2 linked regions of the Coturnix japonica genome follow. Each later gene encodes a partner of the first gene's protein in a complex. Links are inferred from orthologs where the notes say so. Each region holds a gene or a part of one and is shown in the gene's direction. Other genes may lie near its edges. The genes, in order: PPFIA1 and PPFIBP1.

Evidence for each region.
Region 2: PPFIA1 (region 1) and PPFIBP1 share a complex: the UniProt entries of both Homo sapiens proteins name them as parts of the cortical microtubule stabilization complex. The link is inferred for Coturnix japonica from reciprocal best matches to the Homo sapiens genes PPFIA1 and PPFIBP1.

The regions. Positions count from the first base shown.
Region 1 is NC_029520.1:6,954,902-6,962,127, reverse strand, and holds part of PPFIA1 (liprin-alpha-1), read left to right. Parts: intron 1-4,250; coding exon 4,251-4,352; intron 4,353-5,021; coding exon 5,022-5,186; intron 5,187-6,030; coding exon 6,031-6,105; intron 6,106-6,519; coding exon 6,520-6,621; intron 6,622-6,855; coding exon 6,856-7,077; intron 7,078-7,226. UniProt on the Homo sapiens protein: May regulate the disassembly of focal adhesions. May localize receptor-like tyrosine phosphatases type 2A at specific sites on the plasma membrane, possibly regulating their interaction with the extracellular environment and their association with substrates.
Region 2 is NC_029516.1:62,676,827-62,684,502, forward strand, and holds the start of PPFIBP1 (liprin-beta-1), read left to right. Parts: upstream 1-3,661; 5' UTR 3,662-3,798; intron 3,799-7,676. UniProt on the Homo sapiens protein: May regulate the disassembly of focal adhesions. Did not bind receptor-like tyrosine phosphatases type 2A.

The DNA.
Region 1 (7,226 bases):
CTGTGTTTGATGCTTACTCATTGGGTGAAAGTAATCTCATTGGGTGAAAAGCAAATTCTTTTTTTATACATTCTAGGCTAATTTTTGTCTTTCCATTCTAGCATGCCATAGATACTGGAAAGGCTGAAAGTAATCGGATTTATTGGGCTGGATAGGCAAAGCGCTGCTTACGTTGGTTATTGTTTCCTCTGGGGTTTCTGCATTTTCTTGGAAGGCAGGATTTTAATGATCAAAACATGCAAGTGCTTTTGAGTTGTAGCTCTGCTCTTGAATTATTAAATAATCCTGTGAGCTGAAAAAGGTGAACTGGTGTGAGTCAATAGCTACAAAACTTGCTTGCTGGTACTTGACCCCTCCAGATTCTGTTAAACAGTTCTATTAAATGTGTATTTTAAAACCAGTTATGTTGGGATATTGGCCACTGCTGCTGTCTATAACCATTAGTTTTAAAATGAGTTGGCTATTAAATATCCTGTTAAGTGTAGATATTTAGGTTTACTTTGTTGTATTTATGACAGTTCTCATTTCTGTGTGCACAGTGTTTGGAGTAAGCATGGATTGCATGTAATATGAATAACGTCATTGAAACTTGTCACATATTTACCTTGGTTTCTCATCCCTGATGGCCTGGGTTGTTCCCCTGTTGTTCTTACCATATTTTCAGCATATTGGATACTTGTGTAGGTTGTTTGATGTGCAGATTACAGAACAGAATGTTAACAGTAAAACAGAACGTTACTTAAGGATTAAATAGGTAAATATTGCTCACATAGTTGGGGCAGAGATGTTCCTAGAGGTGCAACAGTTGCATCTTCATCCTTGTATTGCCAGAAGATATTTTTTTAATACATAATATTTCCTTGATGAGCTAAAAGCTTTTCTTGCCCTCTTATCCTTAAAGTAAGTTTTATAGTCACCTTGTTACCGTTAATCTTGAATCCTTAGTTGCTTGAGTGGTGTTTGTGTTCTGTGCAAAAATGTCTTATGTTTAAGCAAGTCTCAAGCAACCCTACTGTTCTCTGCAGTTATCATAGAAAGGGCATCCCTGCTGTACAACCCATGTTATATCATCTTTTAAGTAGTCAAATATAAGATCATACATTGCAATTCTACAGGCTTGACAGCTAGATCAGCTGGTGCTACTTGTTGGAAGAATGTCTGTGGTGTTTAGAACTGGGGGGTGAAGGTCAGTTCTTTTTAATGAAGACATATAGAAATGTTGGAATATGTGGATAAAACCCAGAAAATATATTACTGAACAGCAACAGAGCTAATACTTCTGAGTTTAGTTTTCTGCTGAGTTTTCTTTTCTGACATTGAGTGTCGTTTGGTTCAGAAAGTTACTTTTTTGAGTAAGCATTTCAGTTTACTACATGGGTTTTTGCCAGTGCACTCTAAACAACAGAGGATATTTATCTAGTATATTTGGCACACTGTTTCTTGTAGTAAGTGCTCTGTCGGGCTTATTCTGAGTTCCCACTCCTGTCAATTTCAGAGTGGAGTATTTATTATTTTGATTGCAACTGGAAGCAAAGCAGATCTTCAGTTCTGAAACTTTCAAGCTTCTCTTTATGTACAAAGCAATATGGTATTTGGACAAGTAAAAAAGCTGCTTATGAATTTTCTTGTTTCTTGTATTTGCTTCTGTACATTGATTTAGTGCCAGAGAAGGTGAGATAAATCAGAATGTTTTTAGGTCATGAAGTTGCAAAGTTTCCTTTCGAACTGCTTGAGGAAATCACAAATTATCTACTGCTGAAGAGAGTGATTTAAACTAGAAAGGACATGTCTTTTGGCAGCATCAGCTGAAACTGAGGACACTTGAGTGTTCTTTATGGAGCAGCTTATGGGACTCTAAGCAAATACGTTTTGTAAAAACAAACAGCAATGAATGTATTATGCAATGCTAGAAATACGTGTCAGTCTGTTTATGGAGCAGCAGTATAAATTCCCATGTACATTGTTCTTCTTGGGTCGCCTCGCAGTGTGATGGTTCGTGTCAGAATTATGATATATTTGTGCTACAGTTTATATTTGCACAGGAGAATGCAATGGAACAGAACTGTCTGTAATTATTATTTGAAGGGTGAATCAACTTCCTTTGAAACATACACTGCTTTTCTGTAGGCAGAGCTCATTGTTGTCCTCAGCAACATTTTTATTAATGCCATACAGTGATACTAAGTTGAGGACAAGTGGCAAAACAGTGTCTGGCAATCCTTACTGCTTTCAGTGTTCTGTCCTGAAGAACAGAGATAGTCTAGAGGAATGTAGAGCTCACCATGTCAGCCTGATGTCCTTTCTGAGTCTCCATGCTTCTGGATTTTGATGTTGGCACTTGGAGGCATTTTTATTTGTTTGGAAAACGGGGGAAAAGAGCAACCCATAAAGTAAGTTTGTATCAAGCTCTTTTGGAAATACTTTGAGTCTTGTACTTAGTACTTCTAGTACTTCATTACAACTTGAAAACAGTCAGTTGCATAATATACAAAGATAAGTGGGATGGGCCTGTGAAGAACTACACGTTTAGAACCTCGGCTGGGTTTACCTGTGCTTCCATCTGGAGCAAAAGAGATGCATGCTGTCATTTGCTTGGGAGTCGTGGAAAGTCCCACAGAGTTACTGGGGGTGAGCTAATGATGCTCACAAATTCTGACTGGAATATGCATGATAAGTTTTTATTTAGCAGGAGTGGTTATGATGAGGGATTCTCTATCTGTGGTGGTGCTGTTTTCTGTTCATGACAACTTTTAGCACCTGCTGTGTTAGTAATCCTGAAGGAGTTCTCTCTAGGCAATATATCGTGCAAAAGAATTCTTTGTCATGTATGTGTTTTAGATTAAAGCATTCTAAACCAGTCTTTTAATTACTTCAATTAAGACGTTTTTAGGCTGCTTGTTTTAGCTTCCAGTTAGAGTGAATGGACGTACTAGTATAAATAGTTGATGTGTCCTTTTGTTTTCAGCATGGCTTTTTGTCACTTTGAATTTTACTACAAAACAGCTCCATCTTAAGCCTTTACTTGATATGCAGCTGTTGCCAGTTGAGCAGCGTATCTTGCAGAGTTTGGAAAGATTAGAGAAGTAACTTTTATGCAGTGTATTTACACAGCATATTCTTATTGTTACCTTGATTGTCTTAGCAGTGCAACTGTACTTATGGGCTTTCTAACAGACATGATTTATCTTTCTCTTTTATAGAAAGTAGAAAAATAGAGAAGACTAATTAGTTTACTAGCTTTTCTATCTTCTGTAATGTTCACCAGCTACTGAGTTGGCTGATGTGTATTTTCTTATCCTAAGTGACATAGTTAACAAAAGCGGTCTGTTTCATATAGCACTGTCCTCTAAAGTATGACCTCATTCATGTTTAGGCTTACTGCTAATAATTGTTCTTAATGTTTCAGATTACACCTGAAATGTTACCAAACTAAGCTGGAATGGAATTCTCAGCATTTACCGAATGATACTATGTAGTTGTATCTTACATTGTATCCGGATTGTGCTCCTTCAGTTGGTCCAATGCCTTTTATGTTTCTTGTAACATTGTTGCTAGAGAATGGAAATAGTTTAGGATATTGTAGCTATTCCAGTTGCGCAGTAGTATCTCTTTGTATCAGAAAACCCAAACCTTAGAAACAATATGCAAGTGCAATAGAAACAGGCTTTTCTCTTTGTTGAACTGAAGGGAGGTTGTAGTGAGCTGGGGGTTGGCCTCTTCTCTCGTGTAATCGATGATAGAACTAGAGGGAATGGTTTTAAGCTGCGCCAGGGGAGATTCAGGCTGGACATTAGGAAGTATTATTTCTTGGAAAGGGTAGTCAGGCATTGGAATGCACTGCCCAGGGAGGTGGTGGAGTCACCGACCATGGGAGTGTTCAAGAAACGTCTGGATGTTGTGTTGATGAATGTGATCTAGCTGGGAAGTATTGGTGATGGTTGGACTGGATGATCTTCCAAGTCTTTTCCAACTTGATAATTCTGTGATTCTGTGAACAGGGTTACCCTAACTCATGTAATTACCTGGAAAGACAGAAGAAGGTTATCATAGTACCGTTCCAGTGTATTTTATTGTCACTTTATAACTGTTTTAAGCATTGAAACTTAAGCCTGCTTATCGTGACTGTACAAATGTATTGGCTTTAGAAATCTGAAATGAATTCTTTAAGAAATTCCATCAAGTGTTCATATGAATCCACTCTTGCTACATCCTAGGATTTAATGTATTTACATTTGTCTGGTTTATTTCAGGAATTCGCAGCGCTTACAAAAGAGCTAAATGTATGCAGGGAACAGCTGCTTGAAAGGGAAGAAGAAATTGCTGAACTGAAAGCTGAAAGAAATAATACAAGGGTTAGTTCCTTGTCTTCTCTCCAAGATCGTTGGTTTTCTAGCATCCAATGAAATGAAGGGGGGGAAAAAAAAGGATATTGAGTTAGAAAAGCTCAATGCTTTCTTACCTTGCTATTTGCACAGGGGTAATTCTGGGGGTGCAAATGTATGTTAAGAAGGCCTGGAAGCTTATGTATGGCTCCAAATATTGCTGTGCAGAATCAGGAAAAAGGCATTTAAGATCACAGTACTATCTGTTATTCAACTCTCTTCTAGTTACAGATTTGAAAATATATCGTGCTCAAGATTAGAGGAGTTGAGTGGGCAAGCTGTAGTGGTCTTTTCCATCAGATTACACAGATTCTGCCAGCAGAAAGTTAAGGGTATTTCATTTGTATGTCCTTCAGACAAGCATGCTGTTCTTCAGATTAGAGGAAGAACTGGAAAGGGTCAGTTAAGTAGAAACCTGATTTTAAAACTACATAGAGTATAGGGAATTCGTTAGCTCTGATATCACTTCTAGTATGGGTGAAATGAATGAAATGTTAATAAAATGCATCCTTAGACTTGGTATAATTAATGGTTGCTTGAAATTTAGACGTCAAAATGCCATGTTTTTGGAGGCACAGTTTTCTGTAACTCTGTAGAATGGGAATAAAAATTGTTGCTTTTTTTTTTCTTTTTTTGTAGCTGTTACTGGAACATTTGGAGTGTCTCGTCTCCAGGCATGAGCGGTCTCTCAGAATGACTGTCGTGAAGAGACAAGCTCAGTCTCCAGCAGGAGTTTCTAGTGAAGTAGAAGTTCTCAAAGCACTAAAATCTTTATTTGAACACCATAAAGCCCTTGATGAAAAGGTAATAACTATGCTGCTTCATGTTTTCCTTCTTAGTGTAAACCATACAGTTGTATATACTTGTTATATTAAAGTGGAGACCGTACTAAAATACTGTCAATAACTGTGCTCCCAAGATAAGGTGTTATATTGCAGTAAGCTTATTCCATCATTCTGTCAAATGTGCTAATATTGCATCCAAACCATGCTTGGTTTATATATTTGTTGGAGCAAAGCATGTTTGTTTACCTGTATAATATCAGGATTTAGTCTTTTAATTGTGTAATACAACAAGTGGACTAGAGAGAACAGGAGGAAAGAAATCTGCTTACACTGAGCTATTAAATAAAGCTGATTTAAAGGAGCTCCGCCCTTCAGCTGTACCTGATGTTAGAAGCAGGCAATGCAAATGGTGAAACTTATTGTGAATTTTGCTGCCAACTCATAGTTTGCTGAACTACTTTTGTGAATTTGTATATAAAGTCTTGCAGGTTATTTTCAGGAGATATATATCCTTTCTTCCTTGTAGAGAATGAGGAAAAGCACACATGCTTTGTACCTTACAAAAGGGTGGGTAAATTCTGGATTTGCTTAATTCTTGCCTATGTGTACAGGTCATGCTGGAATATAGTATGCTAATGATTGAAAAAAGAAGAAAAAACTAGATTGTGAGACACTCGTTTATCTAGATATAATTCTTTTTGGTAGTTCCTGTTGTAATTACTAGTGGCTTGAGATTAAGCTGATCTCTGAATGTAGTGAAAATAAAGCACTGTTTGTAACCCGAGAGTGTGTGACAGAATGACAGTGTGTGAACTTGATTTCCTTATTTCAAATAGTTGATATCACTGAAATGACTCTTTCAGGTAAGAGAGAGGTTACGAGTAGCACTTGAAAGATGTAGCTTATTGGAGGAAGAACTAGGTACTACACATAAAGAGGTAAGTTTCTTTTAAAAGTATTCTTCAGGTGTGCACTGTGTTTAATCAATACTTGTCATTTATTCAGTTATTAAAGATTTTCTTTCAATTTTGTGCTTTTAATTTTTACCAAGTGGAGTTGACTGTAGTTTTTAATTCTGTAACTATGAAAGAGCAGAAGGGGAGAGAGGGGGGAAAAAAAAAAGAAAATCAAACTTGAGAAAAACAAACAAAATAGTTTCTGTGGTTTTAGAACAGCTGCTGTTGGGGAGCAGTGGCATATTTTTTGAGTACTTGTGACATATTTTCTTAATACATACCTTGCAGTGAAATCAGTAACTTTGTTTTGCTCCTTTGCTTTTGCAGCTGTTCTTTATATTGCTATTGAGATGGAAATTAAACTTGAAACTTACATAAGCTTTTGTTTTCTTTTAGTTAATGATTCTGAAAGAGCAAAATAATCAGAAAAAAACGCTTCCAGATGGGATGCTGGATATAAATCACGAACAAGAAAATACACCAACTACAAATGGGAAGGTAAGGGCTATTTGCTTTAAGCTGTCTGATTATTTTTATTATTATGTTAAGATTAGCCAGAATATTTTAATTGCAAACCATAATAGAAGATTATGAGTGAAGATTTAATCAAAAAGCCTGTTTAGGTTTTTGCAGTTTATCTCATAATAGAATTATTTCAGGGGTGGGATGTGAACTTAACTGTTCTTTTTCAAATTTCTATGTGATATGTAATTATTTTTCTCTCCTTAATAGCGATCTTCTGATGGTTCTTTGTGCCATGATGAAAATCTTGCTAAAGTGATTGAACTCCAAGACATCATAGATAAGCAAAACAAGGAACAGACACAAATGAAAGAACGCCTTACTGCTTTGTCTAGTAGAGTAGCAGAGCTAGAAGAAGATCTGGACACAGCTAGAAAAGACTTAATCAAGTCTGAAGAAATGAACACAAAATTGCAGAGAGATGTACGAGAGGTGAGGAATAAACTTTCAAAATTGGGGTAGTCATAATTGTAATTGCTTTATAAAATTCGTTATTGGTGCTCAGTTCATCCTTAATGTTGGTTGGTTTAAAGGTAAGGCATAATTGCTTACAGCACGATGGTCTTTTTTTGTTTAAAAGA
Region 2 (7,676 bases), on another chromosome or scaffold:
TTAAGAGGAGATGTGCTTATTTGGCACATTCAACCAAGACCCTATCAGTCAAATTTAGCTCTACTACTTATAATGCCTCTCTCTGACTACTGAGACAACACCAAGTTGTTGAATGTTTCTCATCTCATTAAACAACCCCGTGCACAGGAGCAGATCGGTGATTTCCTACATGGCCTTCTTTCTTCTGAGAGACTTAAACTCAGAGAAACCTCAGAGCTCCTCGTGTCTTTCTGGCCAGCAGAGCCAATCCGAGGCAGCATCCTGTCTGTGAGCACAGCAGGGCATACAATGCGAGAAGCTTTCTTACAGCATTTTCAAAAGCTGAGCTGCAGGAAGAGGCAGTGACAGGACGGCCAAGGCCACAAATTTGACAGTTCTTGGAGCATTACATACTGAGGTTGCTGTGCACTGTCCATGCTCTTAGCACCTAATCTCCTCTGCTTTCTTCCTCTCATTTTTAGTAAGAGATTGGAGGGGAATTTAAACACGTGAAGGAATGTAAAATTGTTGATTTGACAGCTATTAATGGTTTGTACAGAGCTTTGTTCTAGGATGTGATAGATAAGCTCAAGGTTGTGGCTCAGACAGCTGTCTCTGTGATAGCTGAGGCTTTAACAGTTGGGGTACCTCGGGTAGCTGAAAGCCAGGGCAGCTCAGACAGCACAGCTACAGTGGTTGTTCAAAAAGCAAACATTCCCAAAGTGGATGTAAAGCTGAGCTTCTGCTGAGCAAGCAAATCCCAGCTTTGTCAAGCAAAATAAGCCACCCTGATAGAAACACGGTTCTCCTGCATGAGTGCTGGTGCCGCTCTGCCACCAAAGGGCAGCTCTCACTGCAGCCCTAGCTGACACTGCTGTGCCAGGGGACACAGGAGCAGAGGCCTGGCCCCAAAACACCTTGACACCTTGCGGGGTGACCTCATTGCAGCCTTTCAATACCTGAAGGGAACTTACTCCAGGAGGGGAGTAAACTCTTGAAAGGGCTGACAATAGCAGGACACAGGGGAAATAGTTTTAAGTTAAAAGAGGGAAGATTTAGGTTGGATGTTAGGGGGAAGTTCTTCACTAGGAGAGTGGTTAGCCCTGGAACAGGCTGCCCAGGGAGGTTGTGGATGCCCCGTCCTTGGAGGTGTTCAAGACCAGGTTGGACGGGGCCCTGGGCAACCTGATCTAGTAAAGGTGTATGTTTGGTGCCCTGCCAGGCAGGGGGGTTGGAACTACATGATCCGGGAGGTCCCTTCCAACCCGGGTCATTCTGTGATTCTGTGACTCAGCTTTGAGGTCAATGCTGGGCTGGGAAGAAGGGGAGCAGCTTGCTGAATCCACTTTTTAAGCTCTCCTAAAATGAAAGCACATGTGCAGCATTGGTGTGAAATTACCACCTGTGTGGAAGGAGATCTCTCAGCACTCCCAGCTGTTGTGTTTTGGCAAGTGATTTAGGTCTAAATGTAAAATTTCTGGGGCCCAACAAGGTGGTGAAGTTTTAAAGCAAGTGAAATAAAGGAGAACTGGCTACAGAGTGCACTGCCTGTTGTTGTAGTTAAAGAGCCCAGCCCATAAGCCAGTATTGATATCAAGGAATGGGGCTGATGATGGCTGTGCTTTGAAAACCAGAGGAGGGCAAAACTGAAAAGTGAATCACTCCCAGTTAACCGTGGGTCACTTAAACTGTGCAAAACATGATAGCGATGCCTGTGAGGGCGTGCTAAGTATAAGCACACTTAAAACTGTTTTAAACAATAGGTTTATCACTCAGGAGTGAAGCTGAGGCAAAAACACTGAGAAGATCCAGCGCAGATTTAATAAGCATGCTGATAACTGATATTTTGCACTGGGTTTAATCTGCTCTCAGAGTTGCTGAGGGTGGACAGCACAGCCCTGGTCTTTTACACGCTGCTTTGCATCAGCAGTCCTGGGGGGCTATTCCAGCTGAAAAATAACACTGAAAGAAAACAGTCATTTTTCCACTAATTCAGATGAGCAGAATGGGAAGCTGCTGGTCACTAACGCCAATGCAAAGGAGGGGCTGGCAGCACAGCTGTAGCGCTGCGGGACACGGCTTAGTGGGGATGAGCTGATGGTTGGACTAGATGATCTTAGTGGTCTTCTCCAGCTTTAATGATCCTATGATTCTAGTCTATGATTCTAACATGACGAGGAGATAGAGTGATGACAGGAGCTGGAGGAGCTGACATGCAAACCAAGGTCCTGTGTTGTACAGCGCTGTGGATATATCAAACACTCCAAGCACCACCTGCAGAAGACAGTGTAAGACAGTGTCTGTTGTACCGTCAAAATGCCTCCAGCTGCTCTTGAAACTCTAGGCTTACCACCGCTTACTGATCTGTAAGTGTTATGACTGCAAAGAGGGGAAAGATCTTTCCCTCCACCTCCTCAGGCAGTGAAAAATGCTGGGAAATGCTGCAGTTTGTCATCATCTCCCATGACCCTCACGGAGGGACAACTCAGATACTGTGTTTTCACAAAGGTAGAGAAAATCAGCCTTCCCTTGCAAACCAGCCTGGGGCAACAAGGGGTAAGCTGTTCTGGGAGATGAGAGATAAGCAGGCCAGAAAACCTTATCAGAGATTTGCCTTAACTTGCAGAGGTATTTTCTGTAACGCAAAGGCATTTTCTTGGACTGATAGTTGTTTGAAAGCTCTGCCCGCTCAGTTTGCTTTCAGGTGGATCTCACTCATATGCCGTCCTAACAAAGCCCTTCTGAATTAGGTGCTGTAAGAAGAATCTTTGCTTTCTGAATTAAAGGATTAATAAAAATGGAAAAGGAATTAACAGAAATGAACAGTTGACTCAGAAAGCAAAGCCTGCTGAACACTGAGCTCCAGCCGGGATTGAAAGCTGTCCCGGGTGTTTGTTAGGATGCAAATCCAGCTGCAGTCAGCCCTGAGATGGGAAATGGATGGAGAGCAGGACAGGGAGCCTCATGTTTGAAGCCAACAGCAAGATGAGGGGCAGCACCAGCCTTGATGGAATCAACAATGACTCAAGAAAATGAGCAAAAAACAATCGCCAAAATGGATGTCACAGGGTTGAAACTTGCAGTTGACAAGCATTGAGATGGGGGAGCTAAAGGCCAGCAGGCAGGGCCAGGGATTAGGGTCGCACAGCTGCATTTACTCCTTTTCTTGCAGCCTGTTCAATCTGTGATGTGCAGCAGCTCTGCGCCCTATGCCACAGGTAGGTAACCAGCCATAAGAATGTCTTTAGATCAGCTTCCCCCTGCGTGTGCTGTGCTTGAACAGCAAGCTGCAGGCTGCGTGTTTTGCTGAGAACCCCAAATCCTAGCTTTCCACACTATAGAATAGAAAGAAAACCACTTTTTAAGAAGCCGTGTTCAGAAGCGAAGCACGACCGAGTCACTTTTTCCACATACAAAAGCATCAGTCCTCGGAGGAGGGCACGGGAGGAGCAGCGTCCCTCAGCACAACCCCACAGCCCGATGCTCGACACTGAGGCTCAGACGCCCAAATCCTCCCGAGGCGCGAAGGCGGCGGGAGGGACCCCAGTCCCACCGCCCCCTCCTCCTTTCCCCGTCCGCCTCCTCCTGCAGACTGACTGCCGTCGGGCCCAATCGGCTCCGACCCGACCCGGCGCTGCCGCCCGCCCCGTCGGGGAAGCCCGGCCCCGGGGCGGGGTGTGAGGCGAGCGCCCGGCGCGGGGCGGCCCCGCTGGGTCCCGGCCGCCGTGTGCCAGGCGGGGTGCGGGCGGGGCGGGACGGAGGCCGCCCGGAGCCGGCAGAGGAGGAGGCACGGGAGCCCCGCGAGGGGTTTGGACGCGGGTAAGGGGGCACCGGGCGGGAGGAGGGAGGCGGTCCAGCACCGCGGGGGGGGTCTCGCCGCGCACCCTCGCCCTGAGGAGGCGCAGGGCCCGCATGGGGTGGAGGAGCGCGGGTTCCAACATCCCGGCTGCTCCGGGCCGAGCCCAGCGTGCCCCGCTGCATCCGGCGGGGCGGGCTGTGCCCTGAGCCGCTGGGAGTTACGCTGTGCCCGGGGAGCCGTGCGGGGCTGCGTCCCTATGGGCGGGATTCGGCGGGGCGCTGCGGCTACAAGTGGTGGGGAACTTCGGCCGGGAGTTGTGTCCCGAGCGGGAGAGTGCGTTTGGATGTAGGGCCTGGGGTTCCGGTGTCTTGTAATTATTTCTTCTGAGACTGTTTCTTTTAGGTCTGCGGCTGATACGGGCCGAAATAGCCGTGCTGGCTCACGCCCTGCTGGGTGCAGCCGTGGTAGTGAAAAGGTGCTTTGTAGATGTTTGCAGGGGGAAGGAGAGCTGTGCTGTTAGTGCTCCGCTTCGGTGTGCGGTCCTGGGCAGAGGTGCTTGGGACGCAGGTTCTGCCCGCCCTACTGGTGCTGGTTGTATCAGCCCAAAGACGGATAGAACCGACAGCAGGACGTGTAAGCGTGGTGTGGATCGAAATGGCAGCACGACCGAGCAGCGTGAGTGCCTGCATTCCAAAAATGAAGCAGCAAAAATGGGTCACCCAGAGCGAGAGTCTTTGTGCTTCCGTGATCGAGTGTGTCTGACAGCAAGAGGTTCCGGTGTGCGAAACCCAGATTTATTGCTCCCATTAAAGATAGTGGCCATCGCTTCAGATTTATGTTTGTGAAAGGCAAAAGTGGTTTAGAATTACCATAAAAACCTGAGCATGGATCTCATGGATGCAGCATGCACAGGTGGCAGAGACGTCCCACAAACCAGGTGAGCTGAAGTCTGTTTGAGGTCTCAGCTCCAAATGCAGTGGGTGTTTTGGTCTCTTGGTTTCTCTATGTCAGTAGGAAACGAGGAGCCGCAGCGCTGCACAGTTTGGGTGGAAGCCATCCCGGCAGAGATGATAGGATTTAGCACAGTTTCTTAAAGAGCTGTATGGTGTAGATCAGCTCCTAGCAGCAGGGGGATCGTTCGGCATTTACGTGAGGGTGACAGTCGCTGCGTGTCGTATGGCTCATGCTTTAAGATTGCTGCTGCTGTGCCTGGAGTACAAAGTTGCTGCTGTTCTCCTCCACGAAGGAGTTGCACGTGTTTGCCTGGCTGCAGAGTTGGGCCTCGAGGAGCCCTCTGTCTCTATAGCAGCACTGCTCGTGTTTTGAGGCACGCTGCCTGTGGAGCGGGGCACTGATAGGTGCTCCACTGCCGGGATGGCCTTCCAAAGTCAGATAATGGCAGGGGCGCCAGACAAAACACATGGGGCCAGATTCATGTGCTTTCTTGGTGAGCTTTGGGTTTTGCAGTTTGTCTGAAGAACATTTGAGCTGTCCTGTCTAGTGTGCACATATCTGCAGCAGGATAAATTGGTGAGTAACGTTTCTGCTTCCACTCACGGTGGAGTGCCTTGAGGTCGGGGGTGTCACACAAGGCAGGAGGCTCTGCTGAGTGTTATCTTCTTTTGCTATGAGTCTTCTTTCTGCTGCGGCCTGTTCTGCCTGCTGCAGTGTAAAACACGCTGTGGGAAGCGATGTTGTCCTGATGAGGAGGCCTGTGGAGGTGTCGTGGGAGGCCTTTCTTGCAGTAATTGGTGTTCCTGGAAATACAGATACTCTGGGAGACTGAGACTTGTTCTGCTGTGGTACTGACAGCCTGGTTCCATCACTTGTCCGTGCCGTGGGGGACAAACTGCTTTCTGCTTACCAGGCAGGTCAGGATGGCGTGAAGACATCTGTGTGAAGACATCTGTGTGAAGATGTGCAGACCCCCAGCGTTCTGCAGGTTGTTTTGTGTCTTCTTGTGCACAAATGGGGCTTCCGTGGTGTTTTCATCTTTCACCACATCAGGGAATCAAGATGGTTTCAGCGAGCGGAAAGTTCTTCCCCTGAAGTAAGAGGACAGAAAGCTTAGTCACTTTCTTAAGAGTGATGTGATGGCATCAAGATGGACCTTTGGCTTACTGGGGGTGCGCAAGATAGCACTGCTATCTAATTTAGCTGAGTTCTGCAAACCCAACTGATAGCTTCTGTGGTGCTTCGTATTAGGTCTCTGTATAGGTGAAGGAGCATGGGGTTATCTGGGCTATGGCTCTGATAATGACGGTCCAAAACATTCCCTTGACTCCTGTGGTGGGGGAAGAGCAGTTCAGGAAAGTAAGTACCCAGTTTGGAGGGAGGGTCTGCTAGTTTGGAGTAGTTCTTTGTAGAGAAAGAAATAGCCCAAATATTTGCCAGGATTTAGAGAGATAGTGGAGTGTCTTGGAAATTCTTGTGGTGTTAGAATTGAGGAGAGCCCCTGTGTCCCACTGCTGAATCTGTGGGCATTTTGGCAAGGTGCCGGTCCTGTGCCTCATCTCACAAATGGCCATTAGGTTGGCATACCCACGGTGGCTTCTTCTTGTCTGTACGACCTTTGTTATTTTCTGCCCTCAAAGCAAAACTCTGGTGTAGTTGCTTCTTTAAGGTTATTCAGATGTGTCCTGGCCCATTTTTGTATGGCCTCACTACATCCATAGCCTTGAAAAATGTGGAGTGGGTTGATTGGAAGGTTCAGGCAGGTTTTGTTGTGTTCACTCCTCTTATGTAGAGTGTGCATACAACTGTATGTTAAGAATAACTAAAAACACTTAGTACCTTAATAATAAAACCGATTAATGCCTTTTTATACTCAGGCTGAGCAACTCTCCCTTCTTCCCCCCCCTCCCCCCCAAGTTGTAATAGTGAGATCCCATTAGTCATCTCATTAGCAACTGTGCTCTTGGGTGCAGTCCAAGAGAGGTAAACTACATCGCCTACATTGTGTTTACTGCTGGTGTCTGTACCCAGGCGGTCACTTAATGTTTATTGAGCATGTACTATAAATTCACACCCTGTCCTGCCCTGTGATCACTTTGTTTTCATGCCCAGAGCTGAGCTGGTGTTCTGCAGTGTCTCCTTAACAGAAATACCGTGTCTTTTTCTCCTTCTTCACCCACCAATCCTTGCATTTGCACTGACTATTCTAGCTTCAGTAAGATAAGGGCATCAACCTGCCCTTGAGTCATGGTAGGAAAATGAGGAGTGTTGCTGGAAGATTCACTGTTGTCATTTAATCATTGGCTCTGGAATCAGTGGCTGTCACTGCTCAGGTAGCTCTTTGGAGGTGGCTGATGTATAAAGCACTATTTGCAGCCTGTCCTAGGAAAAGCTGCATGTTCCTTCTGTGAGATCACATCTCCCACCCAGTTCTTGAGAAGTCAGAGCCGGAATTCAGGCTTGATCTTTATGGGTAACAGTGTTTCTCTTGCTGCAGGGTTGTTTTCCAAAGCTGTTACATCTTTAACTTCATTCCTTTGCTGTTTATGTTAAGTCCTAACAGCCATCTCAGTGGGTTTTTCCTTGCTCTGAAGACTCTAGCAAGGGTGTTCAGTGATGAACGCTCTGCAAGGTGCAGGGAAGCATGCATCTAGTTTCTCTTTTTCACACGTTGGTGTATGTTTGGTCCAGCTTGGGCTGAGGATAGTGGATGTCTGTCATGTTTCTGACACTGCTGCCTAGATTGTACTTCGCTCCTGTGTAAAGGTTGGAAGTTTCACTTAATAGTTCAGTCATCACAGTGGGTTTGTTGTTGCTTGCCCACAGTTTGTGTTGCCCCTTCTGTGGGCATGTATGATTTCTCGATACCTTTAACTTCCAGAGTGTTTTGTTCCTTTCTGTCTTCTGTTATACGTGAGGGAAATGCTGCGTGTTAAAGCTTTAT